Rhinolophus ferrumequinum: one gene and its partner. The main gene of each other region encodes a partner of the protein of the gene in region 2 in a complex. Links are inferred from orthologs where the notes say so. Each region holds a gene or a part of one and is shown on either strand. Other genes may lie near its edges.

Region 1 (7,488 bases), on a different chromosome or scaffold from region 2:
GAGCAACAGCGGGGGGTAGGGGTGGTGGGGGGTGGTGTCTGGGGCCCATGCCGCCCGTCTTTCCAAAGAGCCAGTTTTTGGTCTTGTGACTCCTGGGTAACATGGGCTTTACTCCCTAACTTTTCATCCACAATCATGTCTTTGTTTCAGCCTTTCTCTTTCCGTGGGTTTACTCTGCAATTCCTCATTTCTTGAGTTGGACGTGAGATGCCTCTTTCCACCTTCCTTATCTCCCACAGTCCACACACACACACGTCCAGGACAGAAGCTCCCTCAAGTCTGGCTTGGCTGCCCCGTGGACATTTCCATGTAGTGTTTCTTTGTTGTCGGCTTCTAAATGCTTTAAACTCATTTTTTTGAAGCATGAGTCAAATATAGTTTATGGCTCTACATTTCCAAATGTTTGGTTCTATTATCTTAGTTTTATTGTCATTGCATTTGGTTGGAGAACACGATCAATATAGGTTTTTGGTATTTTGCTGGGACTGGTTTTGTGGCCGTGTCATGTAGCCATCGTTGGTAAACATTCCATGTGCTTGAAAATGATGAGTTCTTTAATTTGGGGGTGCAGGGTTTCTGGTCCTCAGTCTGCACACCAAAACCGGTGTCCCCACCTGGGCCAGTGGGGACAGCAACCTTCCTGGCTGGCGTTGCGTGCAGTGATTTGGAACGGACTTTTGCTCCCACACATGGCCAGCCCAGGAGACACCAAGTTAAATTCACAGCCATGTGTGGAGCCCCAGGAAGAAGCATTTGTTCATCCAATGCGTTAGTGATTCTTTGTGGATGTGCTTGTCCCGCGTGGCGCTGAGGCCGACACCACTCAGTGACCGGGGCCTGGCTTCCTGAGCTGGGTGGCTCTCCAGCAGCTGGAGGGCTGGCTGCGTCCTTGGCAGGGCAAGTGGGCACTGAGCACCTGTTTGCAGGCACGTGGCCGGCCCCAGGTGCAGGAAGAGGATGAGCAGGCCACCTGCACAGATGCAGGTCGGCTGTTGGCGCCTCCCAGCGGGCAAGCCGGGTGCAGAGCTGTGCCTGCAGAGAGCTGTGGCGCTAGTGTGGCCAATATGGTCATGCCTGGGTCTCGGAGTCACAGCTGTAGTCACGTGTGGGGAGCACACAGAGTTCTGGGGCTGCAGCCCCAGTGCTGGAAAGCAGCGCTTGGGGACAGTGGGACGGGAGGTGGTGCAGGCACCAGAGGAGCCAGGGAAGCAGTGACGAGGCCTGCTGGCTGGCTGCATGGTGAGGCTGTGGGAGGCAGAGCTGAGGGAGGTGCTGGGTACCTGGCCACGGTCACCTCTCCCTCTTGGTTGCACCTGTGAAATTCCTTGGAGCTCCACTGCAGCTGCAGAATGAACTTGCGTGTGCAATGGAAGAAGTGTGAATTCTGGCCAGGTCCCCTGCTTCTAGGTGGTCCCATCTGTTGCACACTCAGGCATCTGACAGCCGTTCCTGCTCAGCAAGTACAAGTCAGAATGTGAGTTGTGGGTTTCTCCCCAGCTGACCCACCGGCCCCGGGTCCCTCAGCACGGAGCATATGGCCTGATTCTAGCTGTGAAGAATGGAGTGGCCAGGCCCCCTCTGTCCCAGCCCCCTGCAGCCTGGTGGCAAGTCCTCCAGGCCCTGCCACCTTCAGCTGCTGCTGACCGTTTCCGGAGGGGGGGTTCCCAAGTGGGGTCTCTGCCCTGTGCACCCCACCATTCACATCACCCCTTCTGGCAGCCAAGAATAGAAGCCAAGGCCCTGACCCTGCTGTCTCTCCATCTCCTCCAGCTGCAGCCCTCTGTCCCTTGCACCCACGCCAGGACTTTGAGTTTGCTGCTCCCTTTTCTGGAATGTTCTTTTCCCAGACTTCTGTAGGTATGGCCCTCCCCCATCAGGACTCCATGCCTGTCCTCTCCTCCACGACCCCACTGGGCCCCACTGTCAGGCCCGTCAGCCCCAGTGCTCAGATGACCCCTCCGGGGTCTCCTCTCAGCACAGCCCCAAGCCAGCATAGGGGGGCCAGTGGGCCCACAGGACACCCTGGGCCTTGGTGGTGGTGACAGTGGGAAGCCAGCAAGGGTGCCTTGTCCGAGCATTGTCAGTGCCACTTCAACTCAATGACAAGCTGGATCCTAGGCCGCCTCTCAACGCCACAAGAGAGACGGGTTGTTTTGCAGTGGCCATGACGCTCCCCCAAGAACCACTGAGCGAACAGCACTAGCGTCTTACAGCAGCTGATGGGGTGGAAGCGCTGCATGAGCTCGCACTGATTGCCGGCTTACAAACCGTTCAGCTGTCTGGACAACATTGCAGACGACCCAGAATGACTAGAAGACAAAGGACCTCTAGTTCTCCACGGAGAGAAAAGAAAAATATTAACTTCTGGTGTTGGAAAAATTCTCGCATTCCTTAAGGAAAGAAGTGGGGATGCAGGTACACCACCTCTGGTGACCTGGAGGGAAGGTCCGGTCTCTTCTGGAAAGGAGAGGCACACCGCGGTAGTCGTGGGCTAGACTCTGTGGCCACAGTCTGAGCTTGCTTCATGGAGGCAGAGCTCAGGTACCAGGCGCTTCCTGGGCACAAACCCAGGTCCAGCTGAAGACCAAAGGGTGGGGGCTCCTTCCAGATGATCTCTCCTGGGAGGGGGCAGCTCCACCAGGAGGTGACAGCTCAGTGGTGTCAGGCAGGGCAGAGATGGGCTTCCCCTGGCCTACTCACCTGCCTGCCCCAGGCTGTCTGCAGGCCAGTTCTCTGAAGGGAATTCAGGGGCCTCAGGACCACACACACAGGTGTGGGGACAGTGGAAGGGTATCTAACTGATCCCTCGGTATCTAACTGATCCCTCGGTCCTGTCCCAGAGGCTGTGGCACCGCTGGCCAGGAGGACCGAGGAGGCATGCACGGGACGGCTTGCTCAGAGCCATGCATCGATCCTTCCTGTGGCTCCACCGAGCAGGTTTCCACCTGGAATACATGTGGCTGGGGGAACAGAGACCCCTGTCCTCGGGAGTGGGCAGTGCGGTAGGAAGACAGCCCAGACTGAGAGGAAACCCCTGTACTGGACACAGGGTAAGGAGGAGGAAGTGGCCATGGGAAGAGCAGGGGAAGGCAGCAGAAATGGCGTGTGTGGTGGCCCTGTGACAGCCGGGAAGAAGGGCCATGTGGCTGGAGAGTGGGAGGTTAGAGGGAGAAGGGTGCAAGAGTGGGGGCTCTGGCTGTGACAGGAAGCATGGATTTCCTCTGTAGTGCGACGGGAATCCTTAAAGGGTTTTGAGCAGGGGGTCACAGTCTGATCTACATTCTGGGAGCAGTCACAGGGGTGAAATGATGTGGGAGAGCCTGCTCTGGGCAGCTGTGAGATGGCAAGAGCGGGTAGCAAGGGGCAACCTAGATCTCAGCACAGGAGGTGCTAAGGCAGGACAGGAAGAGGGCCAGGAGCTGGCTCAGGCCAATGTTTGGGGAGTAATCTTCTGAGAAAATGGGGGTGGGGGGTGACACACACCCTGGTCTGGAGTTTTGATCTCTCCCTCCTGGTTCCTTTTGAATCTGCATTCAGAAAAGTTCCCTAAGAGGTTTGCCACATGCTTACATCCCGCTTTCTCATTTCTCCATGTGTTCCAATTAATCCAATTTGGAAGGTATTTTTACAGGTGAGTACTAAGTGGGAGTTTAAAAGTACTTGTTTTCCAAGTAGATACCCAGTTCTCCGTCATCCTTTGTTGGATCCCCCACATTTCCTCACTGATGTACGAATTATAAAAGCGAAGACAACAGGACTGATTTCAGGGTGGCCACGCGGCCTGCAGAACTGCACCAACAGCTCAGTGCCGGCCACCGCAGACGTCAGGGTGCCTGGGCCTGCGGCTCTGGCCTGCGGTTCCTCCGCATCACGGATCACCTCGTCTTGGGGACCGAAAACTCCCTTGAGGGCCGGGGTGCCCTCTGGACTTCTGGAACTAAGCACCAGTCACTCTCTAGGGCTGGGGTCGGTGTCCAAACAGGCTGGGGTGAGGACTCCGCTTCAGTCACCCCGGTCACCTCTCCGAGAGCCCCAGCCCAGGCCTGGGAAGCCCGTGTGCTCTGGCTTCAGTGTCTCAGAGCTGGTTCCCTTGCAGCAGACTAGGAAAGCTCGTCTAGGAACTTCCTGTCCAGGCCGCCTCGCCTGGGCAGGCGCAGCCCGGCGGCTGCGTGTGCGGGGCAGGCAGGTGTGCAGGTGCCTGAGCGGGGCAGGCGCGGCCAGCGGGAGTGAGCATCGAGGCCCGGCCTGGCAGATATTGGTGCAGGGCAGGTGCGGCGCGGGCAGCCTGGCTCCGGGAGGGGGCGGGCGGGGCGGGCGGGCGCGGCCTGCAGCCGCCCGCGTGGTGCTGCGCGGCGCCCGCGCCGGGAAACAGGAGGCCGCTGGGCCGGAAGCCCCGCCCGCGCGCGCGCGCCTGTCCCCGCCCGCCCGGTGGAGCGGCTGCTGGCGCGGCGCGGCGCTGCTCGGCACGGCGGCGCCCGGGCGCAGGCGAGCGGGCAGATCAGCGGACGGCGCCCAGGCCGCCCCAGGCGCCGGGCTCGCGGCGGAGCGCGCCGGACTCGTCGAGGCCCGCGGCCGCCCGCGCCTTTCAATGGGCAGCTCGCACTTGCTCAACAAGGGCCTGCCGCTCGGTAAGGCCGCGCGCGCGCATTTCCGGCCGCGGGGGCGGGGCGGCGGGCGGGGCCGCCGGCTTTGTGTGCGAGTGCGCGTGCGCGCCGGCGTCCGCGCGCCGCCGGGCCGGGGGCGGGACCGAGGGCGGGGCCGGGCCGGGGAGCTCCGAGCGCGTGCGCGGGCTGCTGTGTGCGAGTGCGCGTGCGCCGGCGCCGCCGTCACGCCCGCCGCCCGCGCAGGTGACACAAAGGGGCGCCGGACCCCGACCCTGTGGACCCTCGGCCCACCGGCCTATCGCATTCTGGCTCCGTGACTCCCAGTCGGACCCCCGGATCCTGGCTTCCCCAGACCCACGGTGCCCAGACCGCGGACCCGAGGGTCCCACTCCCCCGGACCTCCCGGCCCCACAGACCCCAGATCCCAGGCCCCGGGTTCCCGGTCCCCCACCAGACGCCCGGTTCCCCAGATCCCCGGTGCTCGACCCCGACCTCAGACGTGCGGTGCCCAGCGGGAGGGCCCTCGGCCCAGTGTGTCCTGCTTGGGCCACAGGTCTTGTGTCAGTGAGACGGGCTCCGCTGCTTCGTTTAAGTCACTTCCTGTTGTAAATACTCCCCCAGGGCTTCAGCGGGCGGGGGAATGTCACAGACTCGGGTGGCGCACGATGAGATCAACTACACGCAACTTGCTTTGAAAGAAATGAAAAGCTCTCGCGTGTCCTGAAGATGAACTGCGTTTTGGCCCAGTGGGGGCTCTGTCCCTGCCCTTGGGGGCTCCGCGGGCCTGTCTCCTGTGGAGGCGCCGGGGGCCGCCAGGGTCTGCTCGCCAGCCGGTGGCCAGGATGCGGATCTGCCTGGGACGGCGAAGCCCTTAAGCTGGAGGGTTTTCTGTGGGGACAGGCGCTCGGCAGGCGTTTCAGTGGTGCTTGCTTCTGCAGCCGGCTCTGTACGGCCTTTGGGATGTTCCGTCCGTTTCTAAAAATGTATAAAATTATAAGGTCTAGCTGGTGGGGAGGGCAGCCCTTCCCTCGGTGGCTTTCAGCGGGACAGCTAGGGCACAGTCCTGTGGCGTCCTCGTGGTCACAAAGGGGGGGCCAGGGGCCCCCACACAGCAGTGCGGCCAGAACTCAGCACACTGCACTCCCTTCCTTGAGCCAGTCGTTTCCACCTCAATAATTCAAGAGATTTGGACCCAGTTCTGTTTGTCACAAGGCACCTGCCCCCCTTGTGTTTGAAAGATGTCAGACAAGGGTCCTCGCTGGTCTCTGGGCAGCACGGGGGAGGGGAGCCCAGGGCCTGGGCCTGTGGGGGAGCAGGCTGGGTTGGGGACCCCCTCTGCTGGGAGCTGGCCTGATGGTGGCCCCATGCCTGCTTTCGCATCCTGCCCGGCTGCCGGTGGCCATCTTGCATGTGCTGCAATCCTTGTCAACTTCCAGCCAGCGTGGGCTGGGGCCTGCTCGTGGGAGGGGCTGTGCGGTCTGCACGTTCTCCTGCACCCTGTGCCGGGTCCGTCAGCCCCTGGCTTCCTCTTCCCAGCCCCCCTGCCCCTCGCGGTGCCCTTGGAGCCCACAGAGTTTGGCACTGGGGGCCTGTGGGAGGGAGGGGCTGTGACTGCACCTGAGCCAGTGGCTGGAGGCTGGAGCTTTCTCTGGCTGGTGCCCAGGCCTGCCCTCTGCCTGCCTGCTGAGAAGCCAGGGTGCTGTCTCTGGGATCCCCAAGGGACCAAGCCGCGGGAACCTGGCAGGGAGCCAGACCCTGCACAGTGATGCTCCCTGATAGGTCAGGACAGACCGACCTTCGGGTTGGGGGAGGGGAACCGCCACCACAGAGAGGTGCACAGCTTGCTTCTCCTCTGGTGAGCTGACTGAACTGCAGGGTCAGGTCGCAAATGGGGGCCCAGGGCCTTTTCTCCCCATTCTCCAGGACCCCTCCATTCTCCTCTTCAAAGTAGCAACTTCATTTGCATAAAAACATACTCAGCAGAAAGCCAGCCCCCAGCATGTGGAGCCCACCCACCCTTGCGAGCTCCTGTCACATAATCGGGGGACCTTAAATGTTTTCTGAGCAACCCCAGACACTAGTGAGCAGCTCTCTGTAGGAGAAGGCCTTTGGAGTTCAGAGGTAGGTCTGTCCTTGGCCCCCCACCAGTGCTTGGTGGGGGCTTCCTTTGGGCCAGCAGTCCCCAAGCAGAGTGTTGGGCCTTGATGGGACTTTTCTCTGCTGACGGTTTGTCACCTGTCCTTGGAGTTTCCTGTGTGAGCAGGCGCTGGGGATGTCCTGTTTGAGTAGCAGGGCCCAGCTCGTCAGTGCTGACACCTTTGGCCTCAGCCCTGCTGTTGCCGAGACCCCCTTCCAGGTGGGTCCTGTGGCTGACAGGGGCGTCAGAGGTGTGGCGTCCTGAGCTTTTTATCTGGTAACAGCTCTCCTAGAAGACTCAGTTTCCCCACTGGTGGCATGAAGGAGGACTGCTGGCCCTCACTCTGTGGGTCGCCTGGCTCAAAGCCCTGGGTGGCCCTGCCCCCAGGACAGGAACTCACACCCCAGGGCAGGGACCATCCCCTCCAGAAGCTGAGCTTCAGACCAGCCCATGGGCCACGCCCTAGCGTGGGCCTCCTGTGGCCGCCCCTATAGGCCCGGGTCTTGTGAGAGGAAACATCCATAATCCTGCAGACCTGGAAAACTCAGGGGCCTGTCACCACGCGGGACGACAAGGGGTGGCTCTTAGTGCTGTTGTGTCTGCCATGTCATCCTTAGGCAAGTGGTCCCTTGTGTCCCCTGTCAGCCCTGGAGCCAGGGTGGGGGAGGGTGACAACCTGATGGGACTGGAACCTGGGACCCTTCTGAAGGAATCCCAGCGGACCAGTTAATGGTGGGGCAGTGCTGC
Region 2 (7,853 bases):
TAATGCCCCCAGCAAATCTCTCCTGTTGTCTACTTGTTCCAAATTATAGTAGGAGGGGTGCCATCTGCTTCAGATCAAACAGACACCACCTTAAAGCTACGATCAAATTCTAAAGTGCATGTTTTTGTAGGAAAGGGATGGATACCTGAACAACACTGGGGTTCTGTTAAAAAAGAGGAATGGGGAATATAGAATGGAGCCATTTATAATGAACCTATTTTTTACTCTTGACAATTTCCCAAAATTCTCTGAAATGAAATGCTTTCCTGATTATGAGACTAGACAGAGCTACAATTGGACTATGAGAGACCAGTGTAGGGCAGGGCCGATACTTTATTACCCTGTGTGTTCTCACATGTACTACTAATTTACTACTGTAAATTAATAGCTGCTCGAGATATGTTTGTTGATTGCCTAACTGAAGGACGAACTGACATATCCTTTGATTCAATCTTTGCTAAAATTAGCGAAGATTTCATATGAATTCTTTTATACACTTTGGATAAAATCAGGACATAATACAGTTCATATGAAGTCTCCAAATGAAGAATATTGAAGCCCCCATGCCAACCACATTAGAAGTCTCTGTTCTATCAAAATTGTCAAAAACTTTCCCTTATCCCATGGACTCTGAATATTCTTCAGGTTAAAATGTCATTCTCACTGGCCTGTTTCTCTGAATGCTTTCCATCCTTGTTCCCTGAGCCTGGGTTTCATTTCAATCCTCTGTGATTTAATTACCCCTTGTATTTTCCCAGCATTTATCCCTTTGCATTGTGATTATGTTTTTAAATGCCCACTTCAGTCAGTCACTCAGTCATCCAGTAAATATTAGTGGCCACCAAATTTTTTCAACTTTAGTGAAATACAGACCCTTTAAGAATTTCCTGAAAGCAACAGACGCTTTTCCCCAGACACATTCATACCCATGAGCCCTAAATTGGCATTACAACTTCAGGGCTTCCAGGAACTCCTAGAGAAATTGGCAATGATGTTCGTGCAGATAAGATCAAATCATGTTGTCATGGCCCAGGGTGACGGGCTCAGCCATCAACTTAAGTCACATATGTCTTCTGCAGAGCTCATCCACACCCACTGACTGGTTCAACAAACACCCATGGCCCAACAACTCCCAAATCTAGGTCTCCAGCTTAGATTTTGACCTCCACATCTGCTCTTGCAAATGCCTACTGGACTTCTCTCTGTGGCTACCCAACAGGCACTTCCAACTCAAAATGTCCTAATCAGAATTCCCTGGAGCAAACACTGACAGTGCTCTACCCACATCCCTCGGATGCTACCATTTCAGTGTGTTCCACAGACCTCCAAGCTGCCAGCCAGGATCCTCTCCCGATATCTGAGAAGGACTCTCTGCCTATGCCAGGTGGCAAGTTGAAATTCCCAGAAAATTAGCATCCTCTGGGCAGCCCTCAACCAGCTTCCTCACTTCTTGAGTGGGACAATTCTGGAGTGCATGTTTTGCATCGTGTCCAAGAGTTTGCTTGCGAGATTAAGCTCCACTTGCTCATGGTAGTAATGGGCCGTGAAAACATTCCCCCTATTGTCTGCTGCCCCCCTGTCTCCCTTCCCCATTACCCTACCAGTGTTTCCTTCACCTTCCAAATCAACTTTCTGCACTCAAATCCTTATCTCAGGATCTGCTTCTGGGGGAATCTATGGCATTCATCATTTCCAGTCCCAAATCTGCTTCTCTTCCTAGGGACCCCTATCTCAGTGGCCACACCCCACCCCCCTGTTACCCAATTCAGAAAGCCAGGCGTCAGTCATTCTAATCCTTCCTGTTTCCTCCATCATTAAGTCCTGTTGATTTTATTTCCTGAGTACCACTTAAGTTCTGACCCTTCATCTCTGCTGTCACTACCTTCACTCCAACTCTGATCATTGACAAAATCTCTCTCACCTGGTCTCCCTGCTTCCAAGCTTACCCTCTCCAATCAGCCCTTCACACCCCCCAGGGGAGCGATCATTCCTCAACCCGAATCTTTCCTGGTCACTCACTCCCTTGCTTCAACTCTGTCAATGGCTCCCCATTGACTTTAAGAAAAAACTCCTTTACAGGACAGACCAGGGACCTCAACTGACTCCTACCTACCTCTGCACCCCCTACTACTATTCTTCACAGCCTCTACTCTACCTTCACAAAATATTTGCAGCCTCCAGAAAGTGCTTTGCATCCAAGCATTGGTGCCTGCTGTTCCCGTCACTTGTAATGCCTTTCCCTTAACTTTGAAAAACTCCTGTTCATCTCTCAATGCTCAGCTCTTGTCACCATCTCTGTGCAATCTTTTCTGACTGCCCTGCCCCATGCCATTCCCTATGCCTTCTCAGTACAAGGGTAGGCCCACTTCTTCGGTGTTCACCTGGCTGATTTTATAACTCTTCATGTACCACACAGTCTCCATAGTATTATTAACACTTTATTTACTGGACTGTGAGCTCCTTGGGGTCAGCAACCCTATGTTAAACATCTCCCTAACCATAGTCCTTAGCTCAGTGACTGGCATACATCAGGTGCTTAATAGATGTTCATTGGATAAATGAATGAATCACACATCTGGCAAGTATGCAAAAACTAGATTAGGAGGCGATGCTGTATTAGAGAAATAGGACAGAGACAAAAGAATCAGATCTGAGATAGGAAATTTCTTGAGTCCAAATATTAGAATTAAAAATCTCAAAAATCAACCTGAGCAATGAAGTTTTTGTTTGTTTATTTGTTTGTCTGTGGTTCTTTCCTGCTGTTTGGGATGTCCTTTCTTCCCTCCATTTTCTTAGGCATCCCTTAAAACTGTGTAAATACAATTTTTCCATGTCCTATTTCTGTCTGAAAACATCTCCCTCCCAATCCAGACCCTTTCTTTATGGACTCCTCTTTTCCCCTTCCCTCTGCAAGGGTTGTCACGATGAAAATACAGAGGGGTGCCACTGTACATTTCTTTGGGAATAGGGGCCATGATGCCTGTTTATTATGCATTAATCTGAATCAATATAGTCTTTCCTCAAAACATAAGCACCTCAAAGGGCAGCAAATATGAATCACAACTGCCAGCGAGGATCAAACATTAACCCAGGGTTGTGATGAGGCCAACAAAAGAAATAGGCTAGTAATTGCCTTCCAGGATATCAGTCCCTACCGTATACACACATACCCCCTCAACACACACAAAACCTTTATGAATCTTTCATCCATGAACTTGTCCCATTATAATTACCCAGCTGTGTCTTTAGTTGTATTCAGGCTAGGTCCTGGCGACGGAGCCCTCACATACCTGATCCAAGGGCTCAGAACAGTTATGAGAGCCATAGAGGAAGTCTTTGGTTACCGAAGTGGTTGAAGACATATAACAGACAAATATTTCCATTGGTATCATTAGTTACTCAGAGCTGATTTAAAACCCCAAGAGCCTGATTGAAACAAGTAGGATGTGGTACCTTCTGTTGATGTTCATTATTATCAATTCTTAAACTTGAACTGTGTGTCTTTCTGCCCTTATGTTGATTGGGCACTTCTTAAATTAACTCTTTTTTTCAAGAGGAAATTCTGTATCAAGGAATAGTACCACCAGGGCTGACTTCTCTGTTAGCGGCAGTAGGCACAGTGCCTGGGGCCCACAGTCCTTTTAGGGGCCCACGGACATGTTTTAATTTCTTTTAAAATCAGAAGAAAAAGTGATCTTTTAAGTAGAAGAAAATGTTTTAGTATATCATGTTAATATATTCGTCTTTACACTAATGCAATTGAAAAATGTAATCTTTACTATTTTTTTAATGGAGGAACGCATCCACAAAGGCAACGTGCCCACGAAAATCATAATGTGGCCCTGCTTTCTACCATATTATGCTTATAAAACAGCAAGGTTCAAACAGAACCTTTCAAACACAAGTTCAGCTTCCCATACAAATTATAAACTTAACCAGGCTTCTCTCTATGTATTTCACACTCTGGTCGGCCACCCCAAATTCTATAATACAAGAGGGATATCATGGTTACCACTCAGTGTTGGGATTAAAGGACATATGAACATGCAAAGGACAGGTAGATTCAGACTGCTTTCTGCTCCGATTAAAGTCATGTCTGCTCTGCTGTTCTCTCAAATATCTTCATCCTGTTTTGATTAGCAGGAAACAAATCTACATCTTTGGGGATCAATTAAACCAATGTAGTTGCTTCCTTTGCTGTCTTAAAACATTTATAGGATTTAGGTTTTTTATTTTGTTTTAAAATGATCAATAGTACTGCTGATACCTATGATTTATTTACTGGTTAGTAAACCATATATTCATCATCTCTGTCTGTAACTCCAGTTCTTAGCCCTGTGTCTGGGAAACAGTAGGGGCTTAATAAATGTTAGATTCATAAATGAATCACCTCTCAAACAATTACGTGGAAATGAGATTATTGTCCGTGGACTAATTTTGTCTCTAATAATCTCACACTTCGTGAGAAGGATCTTGGACATGTATGACAATTGACATTTTAGGAGGTGATCCCTGGGCCCTTCCCACCTCTCCGGCCTCCATCAGCCAGCCACTTTCTCCCTCCTGGGCTCTGTTCTCACTCCTCTCCATCCTGGGATCTGGAATGGTCCTAGCCCGCCGGCCCTCCCAGGCGTCTCACCACCCCCACCCGGCACCCCGCGCCCCGGGTGCCCCTTCCACCAGCCACCCCTCGCCTCCTACAACCACGCCCTCCCCGTGGGCGAGATCACCTGTCCCTCCTCCGCCACCGCCTCCTCGGGTACCCTTTCGCCCCCCTTCTACTCCCCCTCCTCCGCCACCTCCCCCAAGCCCTCCCCTGCCCCGCCTCCTCCCACCCCTTGGTGTATATAGTAAAGGCTGGGCTCCGCACGCAGACACACACTCGCCCGGACACAGGCGCACACACGCTCACGCACAACCGGCAGCGGCGGCGGCGACAGCAGCTCCGTGACAGCGGCGACGGCGGCTCCCACCGCTGCGCATCCTCTTCAGGCGGCCGGCGGCGAGGCCGGACCCGAGAGTTCCCGCACCCGCGACCACCCTGCGGCTTCCTGGAGGCGGCGGCTGCGACTGCGAGGTACCGGCCGCGGAGCCCCACTACGGGTCGGGGTCCCCCCCGCCCTCCCCGGGCGGACCTGCCACTGGACGCAGGGGGCGCGCCGCGCTGGGCGCGCCTGGCAGGGCCCGGCGCCCGGGGAGGGGCCTGCTCCTGGGGGCAGGACGGCGCCCGGAGGCCGGGGCCAGCGGGGAGGGCCGGGCGGGGGCGGGGACGCACAGGCTGAGGCCGCCACCCGTGCGGCGTCCCCGGGTCCCGCTCCCGCTCCCGGCGCCGCGCACTGGCCGGCGGGGCCGGGGACGGCCGGGGAGGCGGCGCCGGCCGGCGGGGCGGGGGCCCCGAAGTGGGTTTCGGGCCGCCACCAGCGCTGGCACCCGGCGCAGAGGGCGGCGCGCGGCAGACTCCGCGCCTGGGCACCGCACGGGGCCGCCTCTGGCTCTGCCGCTCTGCCCCGGCCCGGAAAACCCGGCGCCTTCCAGGCCCTTCGAAAGATGGATTCTGTTGACGTATCTGGCGGCCCTGGAGAGCCGGGTGGAAAGTTGGGTTTTGCCAGATCGCGTTGGGCTCGCCTTTGTGACGCTCGGCCAGCCCCGCAACCTCCTGGAGCCGGGTGAGTGTGCGTCGGCGCCCCGAACGCCCTCGTGCCCCCCAATGTTCAGACCCAGGGTGGCCGCAGCGGCTCAGGCTTTCTGCCATGTTAGGCACCGAGCAGCGTTCTCGCTGCATTTTTGCGTGCGTTTCCGCGATGTCTTTTGCTGCGGAGGGAGTTATTGCTTGTCGCCGCGTTGGCTTTTTCGGGGTTGGGGTTGTGCTCTGTGTGTTTGCTTGTTTGCCGTTTAAAGCCCGACTATTGTTCCGGATATGCTCCGCCTGGGTGGGGAAATGGCATCCCACCACAGTTGCCGGCGAGGGGTAGAAATGTTGCCAAACAGCTGCTGCTTTGTGTTTCCCTATCAGAAGTCCCTGGAGTAGGTTTGGGGCACGACGGATGGATGGAGAGAGGGATGGGGCACGGAAGAAGAAGGTGGCTTTGGAGAAGCGAATTGTCACCCACCCCGTGGCACGCAGTCAACCTCCTTTTCTGCCTGCCAAACTTTTATGAATATTCCTTTTGTGGCACGGTGAAGCTTAATGAATTCAGCCCAGTTTTCCAGGGAAAAGCAACCCGGCTTTAACAATGGTTTGAGAACTTAATCAATGAGAAAGGCAGGGGGAGACGGAGGAGGCGCAGACACCATATCGGGGATGTGGCTGCTTCTAGCAGAGTCAGGTGGGGGAGAGGTGGGCAGGGCAGGGCGCAGCGCCGGGGTGGCCGCGTTCCGGGAACTATCCATAGCTCTTACCTGTGCTGGCGGAGCCACCCTTAGTCTTGCCCCACCACCTCACCGTCCGCCCCGAACTCGGCGACGGTGCTTGAGGGGCAGCTTGCGGCAGTGCGCGGGCTGGCCCCCCTCATCTGGCGTTTTTAAGGATGTGTAAATATTTTGCTGAGGATAAGTGACATCAACAGAATGATATTCCGCAGAGCCCGGGTGTGCAGCGATGATAAATAGATACGGCCAAACAAAGTTTTGATAACCGCGAATTCTCATGGCTCGCTCTGTTTCATTTGAGTCTTTGTTTTTGTTGGTTTAGCATTCTCTCTCCTCCTCTGGTGTGATCCCTTTATTTAGCTGAGTCTTGGAAGCTTCTCTTTAGAACAGAGAGAAAAGCAGCCAGCAGGGAGAAAGCAATTCTTAGCCTTGCGTGCATAGGGCAAGGTTTGCTGGGCTTTTCCCAGGGGATCTTTCCCACCGTTTTCTAAATGTCCCTCTTCTTCCTTTGGAGTAATCAGAATTGGTTGTTGCTTGACCAAGAGACTTCTGATAACTTTGAAAATGTGTGGTGATGTGCCTTTGTTACAGTAGACGGGTTCCAGTGTGGGTAGAGGACAGTGGGGAGGCCAGTGGGTGGGAACTGCTTGCGCGGGAGCAGCATTATGCCCCCACCCACTTGTTTTCTTCTCAAAAGGGAACATGGGGAGCTGTGCCACTTTCAGAAGCTGGGGATGGGCTGCAAGGTGCACATTCATAAGCCCGGTGGCATCCCAGTTTCTCTGCCTCTGAGAAGCCCAGAGAGGCCGTCTACTGCCGCACCCCCCTCCCCCACACACACATACACAATATCTTCCAAATGGGCACTTTCGTTTCATCCTATAAGATACCCACTAGAGGCGTCAGCAAGGCGGCCAGGGCACAGTGAACCAAATGAGACTGGAACTTGGGATACTGGCTGCTTTGGCACCAGCACCGCTCAGCCCTGGCTGGGGAGCCTTTATAACGTAAAGAAGCCCCCGACCTCCAGCAGTGAAGTTCCGCCCAGGAAAACCTGCCCATCTCGGGATTAAAAGCGAAAACAGCTTTCCCCGTGATGCCAGTTGCCAGTGTGAGAACTTGGTTGGTGGGCAGTTGGGTAAGCACTGCAAAATAAATAAAACGTCTGGTAGCCCAAAAACCAGCCTCCAAGATGAGGCCTCTGAAAGGCAGGAAAGAAAAAGAAAAGGACGGGAGGCGTTGAGGAGGTGTCGCTGGGAGTGCCATAGCACCGAGAGAGAGCTACAGCACTAGTTCCAATGACCAGAGAACTGGATGAGACTGGCCTCCCCCAATCCATTGGACCCAGCATGGAGATATTCTGGATGTGGAGATAGTCACATACAGTGTGCTCTGAGTCTCCAGTCAGAAATACCAAGTGTCTATTCTCTTGCTCCTTCTCTAACCTTAGATTTGGGGAAGGAGGGTAGTGCAGGGAAATAAAT

The links. The genes of interacting proteins can lie anywhere in the genome.
Region 1: the proteins of RAI2 (region 2) and CTBP1 are in contact, whole or in part, in a cryo-EM structure (PDB 8ARI), measured with the Homo sapiens proteins. The link is inferred for Rhinolophus ferrumequinum from reciprocal best matches to the Homo sapiens genes RAI2 and CTBP1. Residues at the interface, in NP_001166210.2 of Homo sapiens: Glu315, Ala316, Leu317, Asp318, Leu319, Ser320, Met321, Lys322, Trp326; in NP_001319.1 of Homo sapiens: Arg36, Cys38, Met42, Val51, Ala52, Phe53, Cys54, Asp55, Gln57, Gln60, Glu61, His63, Val66.

What each region holds. Positions count from the first base shown.
Region 1 is NC_046288.1:87,554,584-87,562,071, forward strand, and holds the start of CTBP1 (C-terminal-binding protein 1), read left to right. Parts: upstream 1-4,479; 5' UTR 4,480-4,588; coding exon 4,589-4,628; intron 4,629-7,488. UniProt on the Homo sapiens protein: Corepressor targeting diverse transcription regulators such as GLIS2 or BCL6. Has dehydrogenase activity. Involved in controlling the equilibrium between tubular and stacked structures in the Golgi complex.
Region 2 is NC_046284.1:113,086,725-113,094,577, forward strand, and holds the start of RAI2 (retinoic acid-induced protein 2), read left to right. Parts: upstream 1-4,837; 5' UTR 4,838-5,077; intron 5,078-5,348; exon of another isoform or gene 5,349-5,666; intron 5,667-7,853.